Oryzias latipes: one gene and its partner. The protein of the gene in region 1 binds, or shares a complex with, the protein of each later gene. Links are inferred from orthologs where the notes say so. Each region holds a gene or a part of one and is shown on either strand. Other genes may lie near its edges.

Region 1 (4,377 bases):
TCTCTGCTCAAAATTAAACTTTGCTGTGAAATCGTGCCCCGAGTCAGTCAAAATTAAAAGCAACATTGAACTATCACTAAACACTACATGGAAAAATAGAAAACACAATGCTCAGGACATGAAGCTGGAGAAATAAAAGTTTATTGTTGACTGTAGGCTCAATGCATGTTGCAGAAAACTTGTACAAAAATAGAAAAAAAAATCTTGAGCATTTACACATAGCACTTGTAAAAACAAACGAGCGTTTGTGACTTGTGTAGTTACAAAAAGAATACACGGTATTCTAGGCCTACAAACTGTTATACCAACCCTCCACTACAATATTACAATATTACAGTGCATTAGTTCAGTGGTACAGTAATTTCTGGCAACATTTACTTATAATGCCAATAAAAGGCATTTTACCTGTTCTTTACCCTAAATCTTCGGATCATGGTGGACACAGTGAATCTACTGGCGTTTGGTTGTACCTGTTGTCCAGCCTCCCTCATGCTAATCCCATGGACAAGCACTTTGTCGATCCCAGTAGCTCTGATTTCATGAGATGTTACTGTTCTTTGTCTTTGCTGACCACCTCAACCACCATGAACTCTTCCTCTCAGATTTCTGTCCATTGTAGGGCCTCACAAACCAGTGCTCTCTGAACTGGCTTACTTTATATGTTCTCCCACAAGTGTGATCAGTTTTGAGTTGTTGTGTTCAAGTGGGGACACCTGTGCTTTCTTTGTGTTTGACTTTTGTCACCTGTGCACACCTTTATGCAGCACGGGTGTATCACAATGAAAATGTGTTGCCAAGTCGTGTCTAAACAGGTGAGAAGTACTTATGGTTCGGCCAAAGGAACGTTCGATGCAATCAGTGGGTTCAGGCAACTGGGCATTTGGTTCAGACAATAATAGGGTTTAGTGTTTTAGCAATTGAGAACAACTGTAAGCGAAACTTTTCCTGTAAACAATATCAATAAATTACAGTATAGGTACTGGTTTGCAGCAGTAAAACTATATTCATTAATGCAGATATATAAAATCCCTACATTATATAACAGACTCTTAAACGTTTGAGTCTCTGGGTGCTTAATAATTCCATATAATTATTTGACATTTAAAACAACTGAATTAGTTTTTTTTTATTATTATTATTATTTAGTTAGTTAGTTAGTTAGTTAGTTAGTTAGTTAGTTAGTTAGTTAGTTAGTTAGTTAGTTAGTTAGTTAGTTAGTTAGTTAGTTAGTTAGTTAGTTAGTTAGTTAGTTAGTTAGTTTAATGTACGTAATGTCCTGCTAATAAAAAAGAGCTTCCCTGTTAGAAAATTGAGTAATTCTTAGAAATGAACCATCTATTGTAACATTTTCTTTATAAAATTCAATAAAAAAAACAAAAAACAACGTTTTTCTCCGTTACTTTCATAAAAAAAAAACGAAAACACCTGACAGACGGATTTTATTGTGAAATTCCCCGGAAGTGTGTCGTGTCTCGCGGTTTTGTGTCGTCATCGTAACTGCAGTTACGCACGTTGCTAGTTAGTTGCAATGTTGTAGCTATTAGCGCGAGGCCGTTTCTTCTCTGGGGGGGCCAAACCCTGAAGGACACCGACCCCCGCTCCTCACACCCGCACCCGCTCGACTGCTCCCCGTTACCCGACAGCCGCTCCTCCGCTCCCGGTTCGTTAGCGGGCCCCGTTTGTTCGCCGCCTCCTTCCGCGAGCGCGACGGTTCCGGCGGCGGCTGAAGACCACCAACCATGGCCATGAGGCAGACCCCCCTCACCTGTTCGGGTCACACCCGACCCGTGGTGGACCTGGCTTTCAGCGGAATCACGCCTTTCGGATACTTCCTCATCAGCGCCTGCAAGGGTGAGCTCCAGCAGGCCGTTAGCCGGCGCGGGGTTCCGGTGGCTCGGCCGTTAGCGAGCCCCTCTGTCTGTGCAGGCAGAACCCGATCTGGTCGTGTGTCGGTTCTGACTTAAAACGATCCTAGAAAACTCGTAGAACAGACCTGGCGGATCCGGTTCTGATGAATGGTCTGATTTCTGAGCAGAACTCTGTCTGTAGGGAAGTTGTGGGTCTTACTGGTAACTGTAATCCATGAAAGTAACGAGAGTATCAAGTAAGGCTCCTCAGGGATTCCTCATCAAACTCTAGGAAAAGCTAGTAATTAATGATTATGTAACAAAACTCAGGACTTGGTTCAAGCCCAACAGTTACTTTGGCAAAAAAAAAGTAACTGAGTAAATGTAACTACCCGCCTCTGGTTCTGATCCAATCCCTTCTGTTAAAGATGGCAAGCCCATGTTGCGCCAAGGAGACACAGGAGACTGGATCGGAACGTTTCTTGGTCACAAAGGTGCTGTTTGGGGGGCCACTCTGAACATGGACGCCACCAAAGCCGCCACCGCCGCCGCCGACTTCACAGCGTGAGTAGATTTGGGAAACTGCCTGTTTTCCCAAGGAAAAACACGCTTCTTTCCTACTGGGAAAGCAGCCTTTTCCTCCAGGAAAGTTGTTTTAATAGTAGGAAACAAACTACTTTCCTCCAGGAAATGCACTGTTCTACCTGCTGGAAATGAAGAATTTCCCCCAGAAAATGAGCCTTTTTTTCCAGGAAACTTTTTATTTCACTGGCTTCTTACCTAGGAAAAAAGCTTTTGTTTTCCCCCCCTCCCCTGGAATCAGGGTTTTATCTAGGAAAGAAGCGGTTTCTTTTTCTCCAAGATAACTAGTTTCTGTGGATTTTTTTTTAAGAAGTTGGCTTATTTTTTTTCTGGGAGTCTAAACGTCTTTCCAGTAGAAAAGAAACTCCTGACAGTAGAGTTGCTTTTTATTTTCAGGCACCCTGACTTTGTTCTACCCTGAAAACTAGCTTGATTTTCCAGTGTGCCTTGGAGGCACGTTAGCCCTGGAAGTTGGGTCATCTAGACCCACTAGACAGTGCTCTGAACCTTTTTTCTTCAATGATTTGTGATCTTCACTGGTGTCCATGGATTACATGAAATCTTTCCACCTTTGTCATCGTAGGGAGAACACGTCGATGTAAGGGTGGGGTCATGTTGCTGCTTTGTAATCCGTTGCCCCCCAACACTGACCGTCCCTCTATGTTCCCCTGTCACACGCTTCTGACCGTGTCTGTTTTCTGCAGGAAGGTGTGGGACTCGGTCAGCGGAGACGAGGTCCTGTCTCTGGCGCACAAACACATCGTCAAGTCTGTGAACTTCACTCAGGTCAGTGTGGCGCCAGGCGTCTCTGCTTTCTTTGTCCGTGTCTGCGTATGCGGGTTTTGGTAGAACCGATGTGGGTTAAAGACCCCGTCCTGTTAAAATGGTGGTAATTTTTCTCACGACGGAGAACATATAGACAGAAAATTAAGCTCAAAATAACATTTCTGATGTTTAATTTTTCAAATCAGGAGCAGACACAAAAATGTCATATATGTGACGTAGGAAATAGGCTGGGGAGTCTAAAGCTTCCTGCTCTGCTCCATTCTGATCATCCACCTGCAGACAAATAGATCCATGAACGTCTTTGTGTTCCTGGTCTGAGCTGGAATCTGGATCAGGACTGGACGGCTTACTCCACACCACAACCAAGAGGCTCATTTCTGATGAAGTCCTGCCGCCCTGCAGAAACTATGTCCTGGAAAATGACCAAAAACCGCATCATCATCATCATTAGAACACTTTGAAAATAAATCACAAGATGATTGGAGTGGCACCAAACTGTAATAGTGGGCCAAACGTAACAACTTTAGCTCATCAAACATCACAGCAAACTGAACCGTAAAGAGGAAGTGCTTAACGCTGGGACACCATCTATACAATGATTGTAGTCACAAAGTGCTCCGTGTTCCTGCTGCTTTGATTTTACAAACATGAGACAGATAAAGCTCCTGGTGAACATTCATCAAGCCAGATGGAGGACAGTAAATCTGTGCTTGTGTCTGTTAGGACAGCAACCACCTTCTGACGGCGGGAAACGACAAGCTGCTGCGCATTTTCGACCTCAGCAACACCGACGCAGGTGAGATGCAGTTTGAAGGTACTTCTGCTAAACACGGCATCATGTGACCCCCCCTCCCCCCTCCCTGTGTTCATCAGCCCCACAGGAGATCGCAGGTCACGGCGCAGCCATCAAGAAGGCTCTGTGGTGCAACGACGACAAGCAAATCCTCTCTGCAGCCGACGACAAAACCATCCGGTCAGTTCTTCTCTGAACGTGGGTCCTGCCGGCGCTGCCGGCGCCCTGGACGGTCCCTCCCGGATGCTAGGAGAGTCCGAATTCCTTCCGTTCTCAGTATATAGTGCTTTTGACATTTTGTAGTTATGTCTGAATCTACAATTCCAAAATCCAGTGCACTAGAAATTTCCCAGAAGTCTCTGCGAAAAA
Region 2 (4,288 bases), on another chromosome or scaffold:
CCTTTTGATTTTTAGATCCAAGAATATAAAAGTAAGAAGTTCTGGGAATGTTTATATTTTAAAAAATTGCTTAGTTCTGGTATCTTACTTTTCTGAGATATGTGAAACTTAAATGCTGAAAAGCAACAAGCTTTTGATAAGATGCTCTGAAACTAAAGAAATCAAAATCTAATTCATATTTAACAGGTCAAAAACACAAAAATTAGATTAGATTCAATATTATTGTCATTGCGTGAGTACAAGAACAGGCATCAAAATATTAAATTCTAACAGAATTTTCAAATTAGTTTAAACATGACTATATTTAAACATTCAAAATAAAACTCTTCCATCCAACGGTTAAATGAAAGTCAAAGATGTCAGCATCCCAAATAAACACTAAGGCTTTTTGTATAATAAGGAATATTGTTTTGTTCAACCAAAGACCTTGGATAAGGGACAATTTACATTAAGGTTTCATGATAAGGAGGCGACAGAGATATAAAAGAGATGAAAATTGGACATACACTGCCTGCCCACAGATCCTCCCTCTTTCCTGTAAGTTTGTGGTAGACAAAAATGATATCTCCACGTCTGAAGCTTAGAAAACGGCAGTCGTTACTCTTGTGGTCCCTTATGGCCTGAACCCTGCTCATTAGGCCTACACACACAAACACAAGTGATCAGTTGCATTAAAATGATTAAAATGTCTTTAATAAACCAACTAAGCTAAATTCATGCATAAAATATAACAGTATTTTTTAGGAACTTCAAACTATTTTGACACAAGTGTTTGGACTTACTTTCACACTCAGAATCTCCACAGATCTTGTAGTCGGATAACATTCCTGGATTTATAAGAGGCAAAATCACAAACGTTAGACCCACAATCCAACAGAATTTATGTAGCAGGGAAACATCCATTTTGGGTGCTTTAGCTGGAGTGTATCATAGAAAAAGTCCCATATTTGAGAAGAAATCCCTTTGACCTGCTGTTCAGGAAAGTGGACATTGACTCTGTGCTGTTTCTCTCATGAAACCTCACTAGTGGTAAACGAAAGAATGGAGATAAGATATAACGCTAGCATGAAGCTAATAATTAACAACGTTGCTCGTAACCTGATTGCAGAACAAAACAATTTAGCTCTAATGTCAAAAGTTTATTTTTTTCATTCACCAACTTGATTTGAAATTTTTTTATTTATTAAACAGCTTCTGCGGTTGAATTGAGGTATAATAAACGTGTTTAAATGCGCAACATAAAATGCTCGTGGACTTCGTTCCTTGTCGCTGCCAAAGTTTCAGGCGCTGTCACGTCACTATGGAAACAAATCTCGCCTCGCGCACAAAATTGGCGTCATCAAATCTAGTTTGAAAAACAAAATGGCGCTTGTTGGACAACAGTAAATACTAGCATCTGCCTAGTCTTCGTTTTAATGTCCTGATTTCGCTTAAGAGTTTTACATTATTAGCGGAAAATGAAGTCGGATGTTGAGGAGTTAATGCCAAGGCTGCTTCCGGTGGAGTTAGGACAAGACACCGAGCACGTAGACCTCAGCGGTCCACCGAGGAACCCCCAGGAGTACTTGCGACAGGTCCAGTAAGTTCTCCCTTCTGTTCTCATTAAAGTGGAAAGCCAGTGTTTTCATAATTAAAATGCTTTAGAATAGCAAAGCATTGGTATAAAAAAAATTGTATAAAACCAAAGTTCCTATTTACAGTCTATGTATCGAACCGTGGAATTAGCTCTCCACTTAGTATATTTAAGTGTTTCTGTTGTTTCTTTTCAACAAACTTTATTATCAATACTTATTGTATTAACTGAATAGAATAATATAGGTAAAAGAAAACACTACACAGGTTGCACAACACGTGCCACCTGTACTTTAATAATCAGTCCAGTCCAATTATTTTTGAACATAGAATATAAGTAAATAAAATATAATATGCCGTTTCTTTAAAATATCAAATGTTCTTGTCGCCTTCAATATGGACTGCTTATATGTATGAATGAGGAATGTCCCAAAAATAATGAACAGTTCAGTAACAAAACTTACCTTTTTGGGCAAACCATGTAATTAAAAATATAATATGACATTAAAAAAAGAATTCAGAGAGTTATATTAAATTTTGTGGTTATAAATTCACGCAGATCCGACCAAAATTGCTTGGTGTACATAGAAAGAATAAATAAATGAAAATTGTCTCCTTACTTGATTGGCAAAAAACAAAATTGTTCTGTTTATTTTAAATCTTCTTAGTGTATCTTTAACTGGGTAGAAAGCAAAATAAAACCTATTTTATTTTAATATTAATACAGTATTTATGAACAGAAGTATTAGTCTTTTCCCAATTTAAATCACCCATGGTTGAATACCAAAAAGATTTAGCAGCAAGAAATTCAACTTCTTCTAATAAAAAGATTATTGATTTCAACATCTGTGAATGACTCGTTTTAGAAATTGAAGAGAAGATATTAGCTGTGTTTCCCAGTGACCCCTCACCTCCTTGTGATGTAGGTTGGAAGCGTCCATGTGTCCAGAGGTGGTGGTTGCTCAAATTGACCCTAAGAAACTAAAGAAGAAGCAAACAGTCCATGTATCTGTAAGTGAAAATCTATTTATTTGGTCAAATCTTTATTTGTTAAGGCTTTGTCTGTGTGGTGAGGTCATGTATAGTTGACTCTGCAGCCAAGAGACATGATAATCTGGAAAACCATATTTTCTGTCTCAGGTAGCTGGGTGCCACGCTCCCCCAGTAGGTTTCTCCCCCAGCCTTCACTGGCAACAACAACAAGTCAGTAATTTTTCTGACGTGAGACGGGTAAGAAAAACTAAAAGAACAGTGTGTTGCTTTTATATCTCACTTATATTTCTGCTTATAATGTCTAATTTTTTAATTTACTAGAGCATCACCAAGAATAGAAAACATTGGAGCAGCCAGACTCTGGATAATAATGTACGCATGGTAAGATGTCAAATCCCGCTGCAATGTTAGCAAAGGTCAAAGGTGCTCATTTGCATAATATTTAAGTGTGATCTTTTACAGCCAAACCTTACAGATGAGGAGGGCTGGAAGAAGTTTTGTTTAGGAGAGAGGATCTACTTGGGCGCATCAGCCTGCCCCACAGATGCAAAACCAGAGGCAGAACTGGACTATAGCAAGGTTGTCAACTAAACTGTTGTTAGAATTTTTAAACGCCAAAGTTTTGAAACAAAAAGTTTCAAATAAGACTTTTTTTCTTTTTTGTTAACTTGTTCTGTCCAACAGCTGAGCAAACAGATCAGAGCTGAAGGCCTCTTGTGTTTGAGAGATTTTACTGTTACAATAGGGGGTCATGAATCTTCTGACACACAAGGGGTATATTTATTTAAACTCTTCTGTATTTGAGGGTAAACTTTATTTATATTGATTATGTTTGTATACCTGTTTTGAAAAGGGAAAAGGGGGGGGGGGTTAAAGGAAGTTGGAGCATGATCAAAGAAGTAGAGTGGGGGTAGATTCAGAATCATAAAGCAAAAAGTTGCTGGAGGTTTATCATTATTACTGTCAGATTAAGGCATTAGTCAAAAGGAGCTAACAGGTATGTTACAAACATACCTGTGTGAAATCTTCACATTCCATATGTCAACACATACACGATACAACTACAGCTCACACAAAAATACTTATGCATACATAAAGAGAGAGGAGCCAAGAAAGCACACCAACTTGACCGAGGCAGTTTGACCAGCCAGGGCTCTCCATGATTGTCTCATTGCTGACCCCAACCCTCTGTAGTCCCATCCTGATGGAGGACCCCCTTCCCAGAGGACAGAGCCAACCAGTCTACCAGCCCCCCCCCCCCCCCCCCCCCCCCCCCCCCCCCCCAGATCCTGCAGCCATGGCAGGTGTCACCCAGAGCAACTGCAAACCCCAAGAGGGTTGCCCCACCCCGTCCCAGGACCAGAAGAGTGCAGAGGTGCAGGCCCAGGGTCTCCTGCACCTGGGCCTGCACCTCCTCCTCCTGTCCTAACCCCCCCTGAAAAGACCACTCCCCAAGCCAAGCCAGACCCCCTCAACCGCACCGACCAAACTCTCCCAAGACCATGCAGTACCCCCACCTGCCCACTTCCAGGCGCCCAACCAGGTCCCCCTAACTAACGAAGCCTCCACTGCCCCCCTCCAGCCCCAGAAATAAGGCACTTTAATAGGCATGTTACATTGAGGGACAACGTGAAAACTAGATTTTACTGATGTGTTTGTTTTCATTTTTTTTCAGGTTGGGTTTCCTCCATTCTTAACCATCGTATGCAGACTAAACCAGGTA

Evidence for each region.
Region 2: strap (region 1) and gemin2 share a complex: the UniProt entries of both Homo sapiens proteins name them as parts of the SMN-Sm complex. The link is inferred for Oryzias latipes from reciprocal best matches to the Homo sapiens genes STRAP and GEMIN2.

What each region holds. Positions count from the first base shown.
Region 1 is NC_019881.2:4,535,929-4,540,305, forward strand, and holds the start of strap (serine-threonine kinase receptor-associated protein), read left to right. Parts: upstream 1-1,461; 5' UTR 1,462-1,739; coding exon 1,740-1,851; intron 1,852-2,275; coding exon 2,276-2,411; intron 2,412-3,133; coding exon 3,134-3,215; intron 3,216-3,938; coding exon 3,939-4,011; intron 4,012-4,088; coding exon 4,089-4,188; intron 4,189-4,377. UniProt on the Homo sapiens protein: The SMN complex catalyzes the assembly of small nuclear ribonucleoproteins (snRNPs), the building blocks of the spliceosome, and thereby plays an important role in the splicing of cellular pre-mRNAs.
Region 2 is NC_019880.2:19,643,272-19,647,559, reverse strand, and holds the start of gemin2 (gem-associated protein 2), read left to right. Parts: upstream 1-1,325; 5' UTR 1,326-1,457; coding exon 1,458-1,579; intron 1,580-2,483; exon of another isoform or gene 2,484-2,498; coding exon 2,499-2,583; intron 2,584-2,712; coding exon 2,713-2,802; intron 2,803-2,886; coding exon 2,887-2,946; intron 2,947-3,027; coding exon 3,028-3,144; intron 3,145-4,240; coding exon 4,241-4,285; intron 4,286-4,288. Other genes in the region: transport and Golgi organization protein 1 homolog, read right to left, coding at 507-640, 783-903. UniProt on the Homo sapiens protein: The SMN complex catalyzes the assembly of small nuclear ribonucleoproteins (snRNPs), the building blocks of the spliceosome, and thereby plays an important role in the splicing of cellular pre-mRNAs.